Linked DNA regions of Tribolium castaneum. The protein of the gene in region 1 binds, or shares a complex with, the protein of each later gene. Links are inferred from orthologs where the notes say so. Each region holds a gene or a part of one and is shown on either strand. Other genes may lie near its edges. The genes, in order: mediator of RNA polymerase II transcription subunit 25, MED31 and MED8.

Region 1 (3,760 bases):
ACACTAGATAACTTAACACGAGATTAATCATTCCTTCGACACCTTCACCCTGTTTCCCATTTAATGGGTACCAATCCTCGTGGGTTTCCCCTGCAAGTACCTGTTGGGGGATCTGGAACTGCGTCCAGGCGATGAGTTCGTCCATCGTAAATGAGCGTTCGTCGAAAATTTCTAACGTTATGGTATTAATACCTTGAGGCAACAAACTGGAAATGGAAAAGTAGGGACTTGCTAGTTTTTGAGATGTGTTTACCAGTGAATAACTTTGTTCCATCGCGGGTTTTTGCCGCCGTTCGGGTCCGTATGCGTCTCGTAAACGCAATGCCCGACCCGAATCCGAGCGTAGGGGTCCATTCTGGTCATTCCGTAATTTTTTGCGAGCTTAGCTTGAGCAACAGTGATACTGAGCCTCCCAACGACATTTGTGTACTGTTGGCCACCGCTTAGCTGGTGGTGCAGTGCTATGGCTGTTTGGCGATCCGCTGCCTCTTGTTGTTGCTGAACCGAGGTGCTGATACGGAGAAAATCCTCCGGGAGGGGACCAAGGAGGACCTAAATTTCGGCATTAAAGCACGATTTTTTAAATCATTGGCACCTACCCGACTTCGCCTTTCTCTGACTTTGTCCGTTAGCGCCGATGCCATGGTGTTACACTATTTCAGATAAAGTAAAGACGCATTAATTCACTGTTTGCGGTGTTTGATGACAAATAATCAGCTGTTCACGGCAGACGTCAACACGCCTGACACTAGGGGAAAAAATATAATCCCAGTCTGGGATTAAATTTTATTAGTTTCTGGCGAAAATAGCCAGGTAGTTTTGGTTAAATGCAATCTACTAATAATTCTATTCAATTGATTAGTTTTCCAGACAACATTTTTGCATAATTTGGCTAAAATAAAATTTCATCTGAATGAAAGTGTTGCCATTAACTTGACGTAACATCCCTAAAAATTTGACAGGTATTTTCAATATGGCGGGGTTTGGTGCTTGTATTAAATTGTTTCATTAAAATTGTTTAATATTTTGACTAAACAATGGTTGTGTGTCCAGCTGATCATGGCTTACACGCCGATATCGTTTTTGTTATCGAGGGAACTGCAGTGAATGGTGCTTATATAAATGACCTAAAAACCAATTATATCATCCCTTCGTTAGAGTAAGTTTACTTTTTTTTGTAACTTCTGATGTATTACATGTTTTTCTCTACTACTGCTAAATTGTTTTTATTGCCTATTTGGCTTTACAGTCCTACTTGAAGTTATTTGATATTCTAGATATTCTTTACCTTTCCCAATTTTCTTTTGCACCCGTCACTTTTTTCATCCATTCTTTTCCCTTACCATTTTCGTTTAAAACTTTTTTTCGTATCAAACTTGCACACTCTTACCTCCACAAACTGTGACACTCTCCGCTTAATCTGCACACTGTTTCCCAATCTTCTCTCCAATATTCGTTCTCGCTTTCATTTCTACGTCTAAATCTGGCTATGATTTTCTTATCTTTACTTTACATCTTCCTTAAGTATGAGAGGAGTTCATCCGTCAATAAGCACGGCATATTTTACGTATTACACCTCGATTCTTTTTTCCATGTTATTCTTTCCTGCCTATCTATGTCCAAATCTCTCAATTTCAGTTCCTCTTCCATTGTTCGTCCCCTTTCTCTTATTCTTTTAATTTCTATACACACTTATTCCTTCTTCTCATAGGAGTCTTTTCGTCCTTTCCATCTAACATTTTCATTTGCTTTTTTGATTTCTGTTCAACACTGTTGCATTCACGCAGAATTCTTAATTTCTCTTCAAATCCCACCGCTCTCTTTCCTTAATCTACTCTTAATTTTTTTCTCTTCCTTTTTTTACTATGTACTCTGGCATTTGTTTATTTAGCCTGTTCGATCTCGTATTTCTTCCATCCCCACACTTCTGCTCAAAATAGTCCCTACATTACAGTGCTTTTCCCTAAGCTATTATTTTTCTCTTGAAATTTTCACTAAATTTACGTTCTCCCAAGCTTCAAACATTTCCTAAAACCCCATTTGTTTTTTTTTGCTGCTTCTTTTATATGGGCTGTGTCTGACATCTTGCTACTTATTACTCTCTTCTAACTGAAATAGTGAAGATTGACTAAAATAATACAGTACATATCTGATTCAGATACTTCAAGTCTTTCACTTGTTCTATATTTTTCCTTCCCATTGCCATTCATCCTCTTTTCCGAATTCCCATACTACTTTTCTTTCCAAATATCATCATTTTTGTTGTATCTACATCTACATTTCCAATCTTTTATTTCTCTGTTTTTTCTCGTGATGAATTCTGAACGGATAGTTGAACAAGGTTTGAGGTACTGAGAAATCAGTGTAACCTTGCTTTGTTATGATAAAAATTACACCCTGATACGAAAAAGTAGTAGTAGTAGTTTTTAATTGGAGAATATGTTCTTGTAACTGAGGGACTTTTAGATATTTTAGTCAGGGGAGTATTGATGAGAGCAACTTCCTATCAGAAGGGATTAATTCTTATTACGGAATTGTGGTGTATCAGGCTGCTGATTGCTTACCGCACCCCAGTAGCGACACAATTGGGCCCTTTGTAAGCCCCAGTAAGGTATTAAATGCCATAGACAAACTTGAGTAAGTTCTAACTAGGAAAAGGATCACTTAATGTAAAAATTATTTCAGACTTATAGGAGGTAAAGGCGAGTCTCATGCAAACATTGCTGAAGGTTTAGCCACAACCCTTCAATGTTTTGACGAATTGCAGCAAAAACGTGACAATAACGGCAACATTCAAAAGCATTGTATTCTAGTGTGTAACTCGCCCCCTTATTCTCTAGGGGTTTTTGAAACTCATGCTTACACAGGGAAGACAGCTGAGCAACTAGCAGCTATTTTGCAAGAAGTAATTAACCAAGTGTCTTCCACCAAATTTGCATAATTAACTTTCAGAAAAATATCAATTTGTCGATTATCTCGCCGCGCAAAATCCCCTCGTTGTATAAACTGTTCGAGAAAGCCGGCGGTGATTTGAGCGCTTCCCAGACGAAAAACTACGCCAAGGACCCCCGTCACTTGGTCCTCCTGCGCGGCTTCAGCCTGAAGGAGCGCCCCCTGAGCCCCCCTGCCGGTACCGCCACTTCCGCCCAAACCCAAATTTCTAACACTACCATTCCTATAACCTCTCTCCCCAGCCCCTTAGCCAGCAATGACAGCCCCATCTCGTCATCCTCGTCCGCCAACTCCGGGGTTCCCTCAGGAGTGGGCCCATCGCCCGTCTATCGGCCGCCCAGCGCTCAAGGTATAACCCCCCAACACTCACAAAATGTTACACCAGGCATGGTAGGTATGGTGAACGCCCGAGGGGCCATGATGGGCAACAACCCCATGAACATCCCGCAATTGCCCGCACCGCCGGGCTACCACCAAGCGAACCGGCCCAGATGGCCAGCTATGTTGCCCCCAACGCAGCCCAGGTCGTATCTGCCGCCCAACCAACAGGTTAATACCACCCAAAGTAGCGCACTGATTGCACAGCTGACACAACCCCCGAATTCTATGCCGGGGACTGGGGTTAATCAATTTGGACAAAGTAAAAGAGAAGTTTTTGAGGTGTTTGAGGTAAATTGCGTGTTTTAGTGGGGAATAATTCGCCGCTTAATTCGCAACAGCAACAACCCCAAATGAAAATTAATATTATGAATCAGCAAAATCAGCAACCAAATGTTCAGACGTCGATGTCGCAGAATCCCAACAGTGG
Region 2 (2,666 bases), on another chromosome or scaffold:
TCTTTCGTTAGGTTTTTTCCCTTTTTTTGGACGAACTAACAAATAAATTGTTGATAATTGAGGACATGAGCGTAGTAATTTCTCGATTAGTACTTTCCCCATAAAACCAGTGGCGCCCGTGATGAGGATGTGTCGGTTTTTGTAGAATTCCGCAACCGCTGATTTATTGCTCATTGTTGAGAAACCTCAAAAACGATTAAGAATTGATTTATTTGCGTGTTGTGTAACGTGCACGCCACTGGTGAAAAAGTTAGGTAATAGGACAGTGGCGTACAAGGAAATGTCAAACACGATTTCGGCAAATATTTGATTGTGGACACAGCACTTGTGATAAGTAGCCGCGTAACAATACACGAGTTTTTGCACAATTGCTTTAACAAATAGAAAAAAATTTCAAAATAATGCAGTGAACTTTTTATGAATTTCGTCAATTCTCATTAATACATTAATAAAATAATAAGTAATGTGTTTCCATTAAAATTAGCAATGATAAATTACTGATATTTACTAAATTAAACAGTGAATTAATTATTGCATCAAATTTTTTATAAAACAAATGATCGAAAAATGAAGCAAAATCATATAAAAGGGTGACTTTGTTTTTTATTTTAATTATGATTACCAAGAAACTTTAATTTAATTAAAAATTGTAAAAATCGAAAAGCATTTTTTTAATTAATTCTTTACTTAAAAAGGATTTAATAGTAATAATAACTGATAATAATTAAACCGTAATTACAGTAAATTAAAAAGAAATTATGATTTTTAAACATATTTGAGACTAAAAACGCTAATCAGGCGTTAAATAGCTGATTAAATAATTAGAAAATTGTTAAATTAATTAATGAAATAATTAATGATAAGATAATTCAAAATTACAATAAATGAGCCAAAAAAAACGCGATTAAAGTCCTCACTTTAAATTTTTTATTGATCCCGCAAAAGTGAAAAGAAAAAATCTCGACTTACTGAAAGGCAGCAACAAAACAATAAAATTGTTCACACACAAAGCAGCAATGTTTTGTAGACAAAGCCGCAACCCATCCACCTGTTTTCATACAAATACCATTACCATATACCACCACCATGGGAATTTCCATGAAAATTCCTCGTGTTGGGGATCATTATGTTAGTCAGTTATTTTCTTATTGGTGGTCAATTTCCCGCTCAATTAAATAACTGGGCTACTTTCACCAGCGATTGATTTTTCCACACGCTTCTTACAACATGTACCGTTTCGATCCGATTTCTTATTATTGAGAATTGAATTACGCAAGAATAATACTTTCAATAGAAGAACAAGGGAATTTGCCAAGCCTCTAATGGTCGCTTTTCTATTGTTGTTACTTGTGACATTTTAAGTGCACGCTCTTACAACACGAACTTGCATTTATCCTAATTGATTAATTAAAAAAATTCGAATTCGAATCACGCGCCATTTTATGCACAACAAACATGGCTGGGAAAGGTAAGCGTCCTTTAATTAAATTTAGGTAATAAACAAGTTTTAGGCTGGAATTATATGTCAGGGGCTCCGGAAACCGACGATCAGCAAAGACTCCGCTTCCAGATTGAGCTAGAGTTTGTGCAGTGTCTCGGAAATCCTAATTATCTCAACTGTAATGACGTAACCTCACTTTTTCGGGAGGGAAAAAATACAATTTTTTGCGTTTTAGTTCTCGCACAGCGTGGTTATTTTAAGGATAGTACGTTTGTTAACTATTTGAAGTATTTGCTTTATTGGAAGGAGCCCGAATACGCCAAATATTTGAAATATCCAATGTGTTTGTATTTTTTGGATTTGTTGCAATATGAACACTTCCGGAGGGAATTGGTGAATGCTCAGTGTTCGAAATTTATCGACGATCAACAACTTTTATTGTGGCAACACTACACCAGGCGGAGGAGTCGTTTGTTAACCCCTTCGAATGTTAACGGGACAGGTGAACAAAGTATTAACCAGAATAGCCAAAGTAACGGACATTTGAGCAATAAAATCAGCTAGGTAGGGTACAAATGTGATTTTTTGGTGGTTAAGTGAAATAAATTATTTTTTTGTTTAGTTACATAAATCACCAAGATCCCACCAATTGCACCAAAATCCCACCCATTTCCATCCAAATCACAATTGATTGGCTGTCGCTGTAATTAAGGTAAGTTCCTTGTTTTTCCTTAAAAATCGTAAAAAATGCAAAATTTGTAACAAACCTCAAAACCAAAAGTCCCTGAACCCGCCCCGCCAAATTCAAATACAAGTTCCGTTTCTCGACCCAATTGGACTTAACTGTACACGAAATCCGCTCGACTTTCATACACCAAAAGTGTACTTGGCTTACACGATTTGTTTATTAATAATTGTTGACATGGTTCTATTAACAATCAAATCAATCATTTCGTTTCGATGCGTCCAACAATTAAAATGAATTTTTTCAAAATAATTTTTGTCGTTATTGTGATAATTTTGTGTGCTAGTGATGCGAAAATACGCAAGAAAAATACCAAAGGTTTGATTTTGCGGCAAAAAGAAACGAATGCGATTAATTTTCTCAGGTAAAAAAATATTGTATCATACAGGATTTTTATGGAAGTTTGCAGACTGGCGATTATGAGGCTTGTATATGGGGTGGCTACGCGATTGGGTTTTGGCGAACAAATCGCAGTGGCCT
Region 3 (3,760 bases), on another chromosome or scaffold:
TGCGTAGCATGTGCTAACATACATCGTGAAAATGTTCAAGTTCCGCTGTACTTATTGGAAAAGCCACCCGTTCCGACCAGCCACACTTCAACCATTTGTTGATAGTATAGTTTCAAAGTCTATAAAATTAATGCTTTTTATAATCTACTCATTACGCTACAAAGTGTTAATCTTTGTTTCCACTGTTATATTTAGTTATTTTTGTAAGATTATATCTTAATAAATAAATATATCTCCGTACACATTAAAAACTATTTCACTAGCGTCCATATGGATGTATTTGGGTGGCACTTTTGATGTTAGTCTTAATAGCAGAGGGCGCCTTATTCATCGTCATGGTTTGCGTGCTGGGGGGCATCTGTCCTTGCCCGGGAGTGCCCCCTGGGCGCCCCTGCGGAGGCACCATCATCCCTCCCGACGTGGGATTGGGCTGACCGTTAGGGTTCGCCCCCATCTTGAGTCCCTTCCCCATTCCAACAGCCGCCACAAGCGAGTGAGTATCAGCCACACTGGAATTCTGCTGCGTACTTCCCCTGGCGGAAGACTCAACTTCCCACTCCTCCCTCGCTTTACTCACCAGTTCCCAAACGTGGGACACAACCTTTTGATACGCAGCAATTTGTTTCTGAAAGTTTGCGTTGAAACATACTCTACCAAAAATTTTAACATACCTGTGCGTTCTCATACGATAAAGTTGACGCCTTGTGTTCCAATTGCATCATTTTATTCTCCGCCAACGGTTCTAGTTTGGTTCGAAGATAATCTGGGACTAAATCATGGGCGAAGGTTGTGACTCTGTGTTCGGTCATTTGGGCCAATTGTTCGTCCCGCTCGGGGGACAACATGAGGGGCAGTACTGTGAGATTTCTGAGGGTGGGGCATTTGTCGTGGCTTAAAACCTTCGAAAGGGAGGTGAGTTGGCCGGACATAAGGGCGTAATTGTCCAAAAATGTGGGCCAGTTGAGGGTCTCATATTCATTCTCCACCTTGTAAATCATTGAAGCTATCGATGATTTTAGGTCGTTGACACGCTGGATTATGGAATCGAGAGACGATTCGAGTTGTTTTTCTTCCCGTTGTTGCATTTTGCTGTATTTTTGGCGCTGTTTACAAAAACATAACCTTAACCACGATGACGGTATGTCGGCTGTGGCATTGCCGTCTCGAACTCCAGGCCTGCATGTTGACATTGTGACGTCACAGTAAGAGTCTAAATGATCATAACCTAACTTTCTGAATTTTTGCAAAAAATTAATTTTAACTATGTTGCGTCCAACGTTTTATGCAAGAAACGACGGAAAAGTGTATCTAAAGAATCCTGATACTGCAAATGTGGTCAACGAACGGTCAACTATAATTTTTATAGTGACATACGTTGTGATTTAAAGTACCTTATCCGTTTGTTATTACCCGAAAAACATATATTAAAGTTTATATTTTTTGATAGTTTAAACCATCTAGCCGTACTTAAACGTCTAAAGTTACGTCTATTAATACAAAAATTCTCCTTATGGGCCTAAATTTTGAATAACCGCGACTTAAAGACGACCGTTTTATCCAAGTTTTAACACAGGTTCTTATGGAATGCAACATGTTATTATTCGCTAAATATGTTTTAAATTAGTCGTAAAAGTGTGATCGAAAGTATAAGAATATGACGAAGAATTTTACGTCATCTCTAGTCACTTCGTGATATTTTATTATAAAATCATCCCGAAAATATTTCACATAAACACGACTGTTCTTGGTAACAGTCCAATTAGTTCGGGGTATCTTTCTTGACCATAATGATCGCAGGGATTCTTGTTTGGGAAAGGAAAACATAGGTACATAAGGACCATTCATGTTAGACACACAATTGGGAACACAACACTTATTCGGCATTTTCTAAAATTAGGAATGCAATAGGATTAAGTATGTTAGGTTTAGAGACTGAAATATGCCTTATCTGCTTATTTATTACCAAATTAAACGATTAAAAACAATAAAACCAAATTTATAAACAAAAATAATGCAAAACTATCCTAACCTATAATTGTCAAAATCACGTCACACAAGACTATAAACACACAAAATTCATTCCCTACAACGCAACCACAAAACAACAAATTCGTAAACAACAACAAATTACTTAATAACACTCTCAAAAACACCAAAAAGTACAATATATTCAAACGATGCGAACAAATGTCACGACTCTTACGATGACGTCACAATAAACAAAAGCTAGTAACCTGACGGCCTGGAGTTCGAGACGGCAATGGCTGTGGCCCTAGAATAACACTTTAATAGAAGCGGAACATAATGGTTGGCAATGAATTCCTAGCTGAAGCCATCTAGCCGCATCATCACGTACTAAAAATGGCGCGAATTTAAAATAATTCCGATTACTTTATATTTTTTTAATTTTTGCTCACGTCAAAATGATGCCAATACCTTATCAAATACAATTATTATGAAAATTTCTTAATTGTATTTGAAAAGGTGGATGCACAGACAGCACAGATGGAAGAATTTTACCCAACATGACACGATCACATTTAATGTTAAAGATATTTATTAAATCCATTAAGTTTACGAAACTAATAGTCGTCACCGAATCGATGATAAAGACATACTTGCAATCAGCCAAACTGGCACCGGTCTGGCACCTTATGTTTGCAACTTCTGTCTATGGGAGTCTCCTCGCAGTGTGACTCACTTGCGGTTCGATCTCAAAAAACTCACTTTTGGGAAAAACGCACCTATCTACGTAAACCTTCTGGAGCTCATTACTACGTTATATTTTTGGAGATCATGTTGTTCCTAACCGATAGTAGGCAATAGTCTAACCTAAAGACGACATTTTGATCCACTATAATAATAAAAATTAACGTGATATTATAAAAAATAAACTCAAATTAAAATCAACAAAAATGGCGATTCAAGTAAAAAGTGAGTGAAAATAAAAATTATTTTTCTAATGTTATTTTCAATTTGCACAAGAAAATTCATAGTGTACGGTCATCAGGGCACTCAGAGGAATCGTTTGGTGTAAGTTTCAGCTTGAAAATCCAGAAGTAGTTAAAGTAAAAAATTACCAAGTTATACTTTATGTTTTATTACGTGGTAAAGTTAACAACACACGTTAACATACCCTTTATAAACGTTTAAACACCCTTTTTCATGAAAAGGTTGACACGAGAAGTGCATTTTTCAATAAATCTCACTGAAATTTATGTCGTTGACTCAAGGTAGATTTGTCTGTCCTTAAACATGTTCAATAATAATTAATAGCGCTCTAGAAGAGCAGGAAAGCACACAAAAAACATTAAAGTTAAAATTTAACACTTCAGAAGAGATCATAATACACCCTAACCCTACTTTCTGAACTTTTGTCCTTATCTGGCAATAGCACATAATAAAGGTAGAGATTTCGACCCTAAATATCCTATCATAACGCTCTGAAAGGGCAGAGATGGAGACAAAATTCATAAAAGTGTAAATTTTGTCATTTTCGGGTGACAACATAACCCTACTTTTGGAACCTACCGAATTTTCAACAAAACGAAACAAACAAACAATGTGGTTATACGCATTGCGATACCACTAATTTTCGCACCAAACTTTCACATTGCCAGTTTCTGTTTAAATAAAAACATGCATTTTTATTTTTCCATTGACTGCATGCGAAACTTTTATAATTTTAGACGTTTATAGGCAAATACATTTGTCATAATTAATTTTTTTACATCAATGCTGTTCTATTTTAAATAATTCT

Evidence for each region.
Region 2: mediator of RNA polymerase II transcription subunit 25 (region 1) and MED31 share a complex: the UniProt entries of both Homo sapiens proteins name them as parts of the mediator complex. The link is inferred for Tribolium castaneum from reciprocal best matches to the Homo sapiens genes MED25 and MED31.
Region 3: mediator of RNA polymerase II transcription subunit 25 (region 1) and MED8 share a complex: the UniProt entries of both Homo sapiens proteins name them as parts of the mediator complex. The link is inferred for Tribolium castaneum from reciprocal best matches to the Homo sapiens genes MED25 and MED8.

What each region holds. Positions count from the first base shown.
Region 1 is NC_087402.1:9,090,387-9,094,146, forward strand, and holds the start of mediator of RNA polymerase II transcription subunit 25, read left to right. Parts: upstream 1-939; 5' UTR 940-1,037; coding exon 1,038-1,159; intron 1,160-2,466; coding exon 2,467-2,637; intron 2,638-2,685; coding exon 2,686-2,905; intron 2,906-2,952; coding exon 2,953-3,301; intron 3,302-3,346; coding exon 3,347-3,592; intron 3,593-3,639; coding exon 3,640-3,760. Other genes in the region: toll-interacting protein, read right to left, coding at 1-206, 254-552, 600-644. UniProt on the Homo sapiens protein: Component of the Mediator complex, a coactivator involved in the regulated transcription of nearly all RNA polymerase II-dependent genes.
Region 2 is NC_087401.1:17,495,561-17,498,226, forward strand, and holds MED31 (mediator of RNA polymerase II transcription subunit 31), read left to right. Parts: upstream 1-1,016; 5' UTR 1,017-1,455; coding exon 1,456-1,468; intron 1,469-1,511; coding exon 1,512-1,619; intron 1,620-1,676; coding exon 1,677-2,005; 3' UTR 2,006-2,062; downstream 2,063-2,666. Other genes in the region: uncharacterized protein LOC656943, read right to left, coding at 1-185. UniProt on the Homo sapiens protein: Component of the Mediator complex, a coactivator involved in the regulated transcription of nearly all RNA polymerase II-dependent genes.
Region 3 is NC_087396.1:15,801,781-15,805,540, forward strand, and holds MED8 (mediator of RNA polymerase II transcription subunit 8), read right to left. Parts: upstream 2,275-3,760; 5' UTR 1,191-2,274; coding exon 672-1,190; intron 626-671; coding exon 260-625; 3' UTR 167-259; downstream 1-166. UniProt on the Homo sapiens protein: Component of the Mediator complex, a coactivator involved in the regulated transcription of nearly all RNA polymerase II-dependent genes.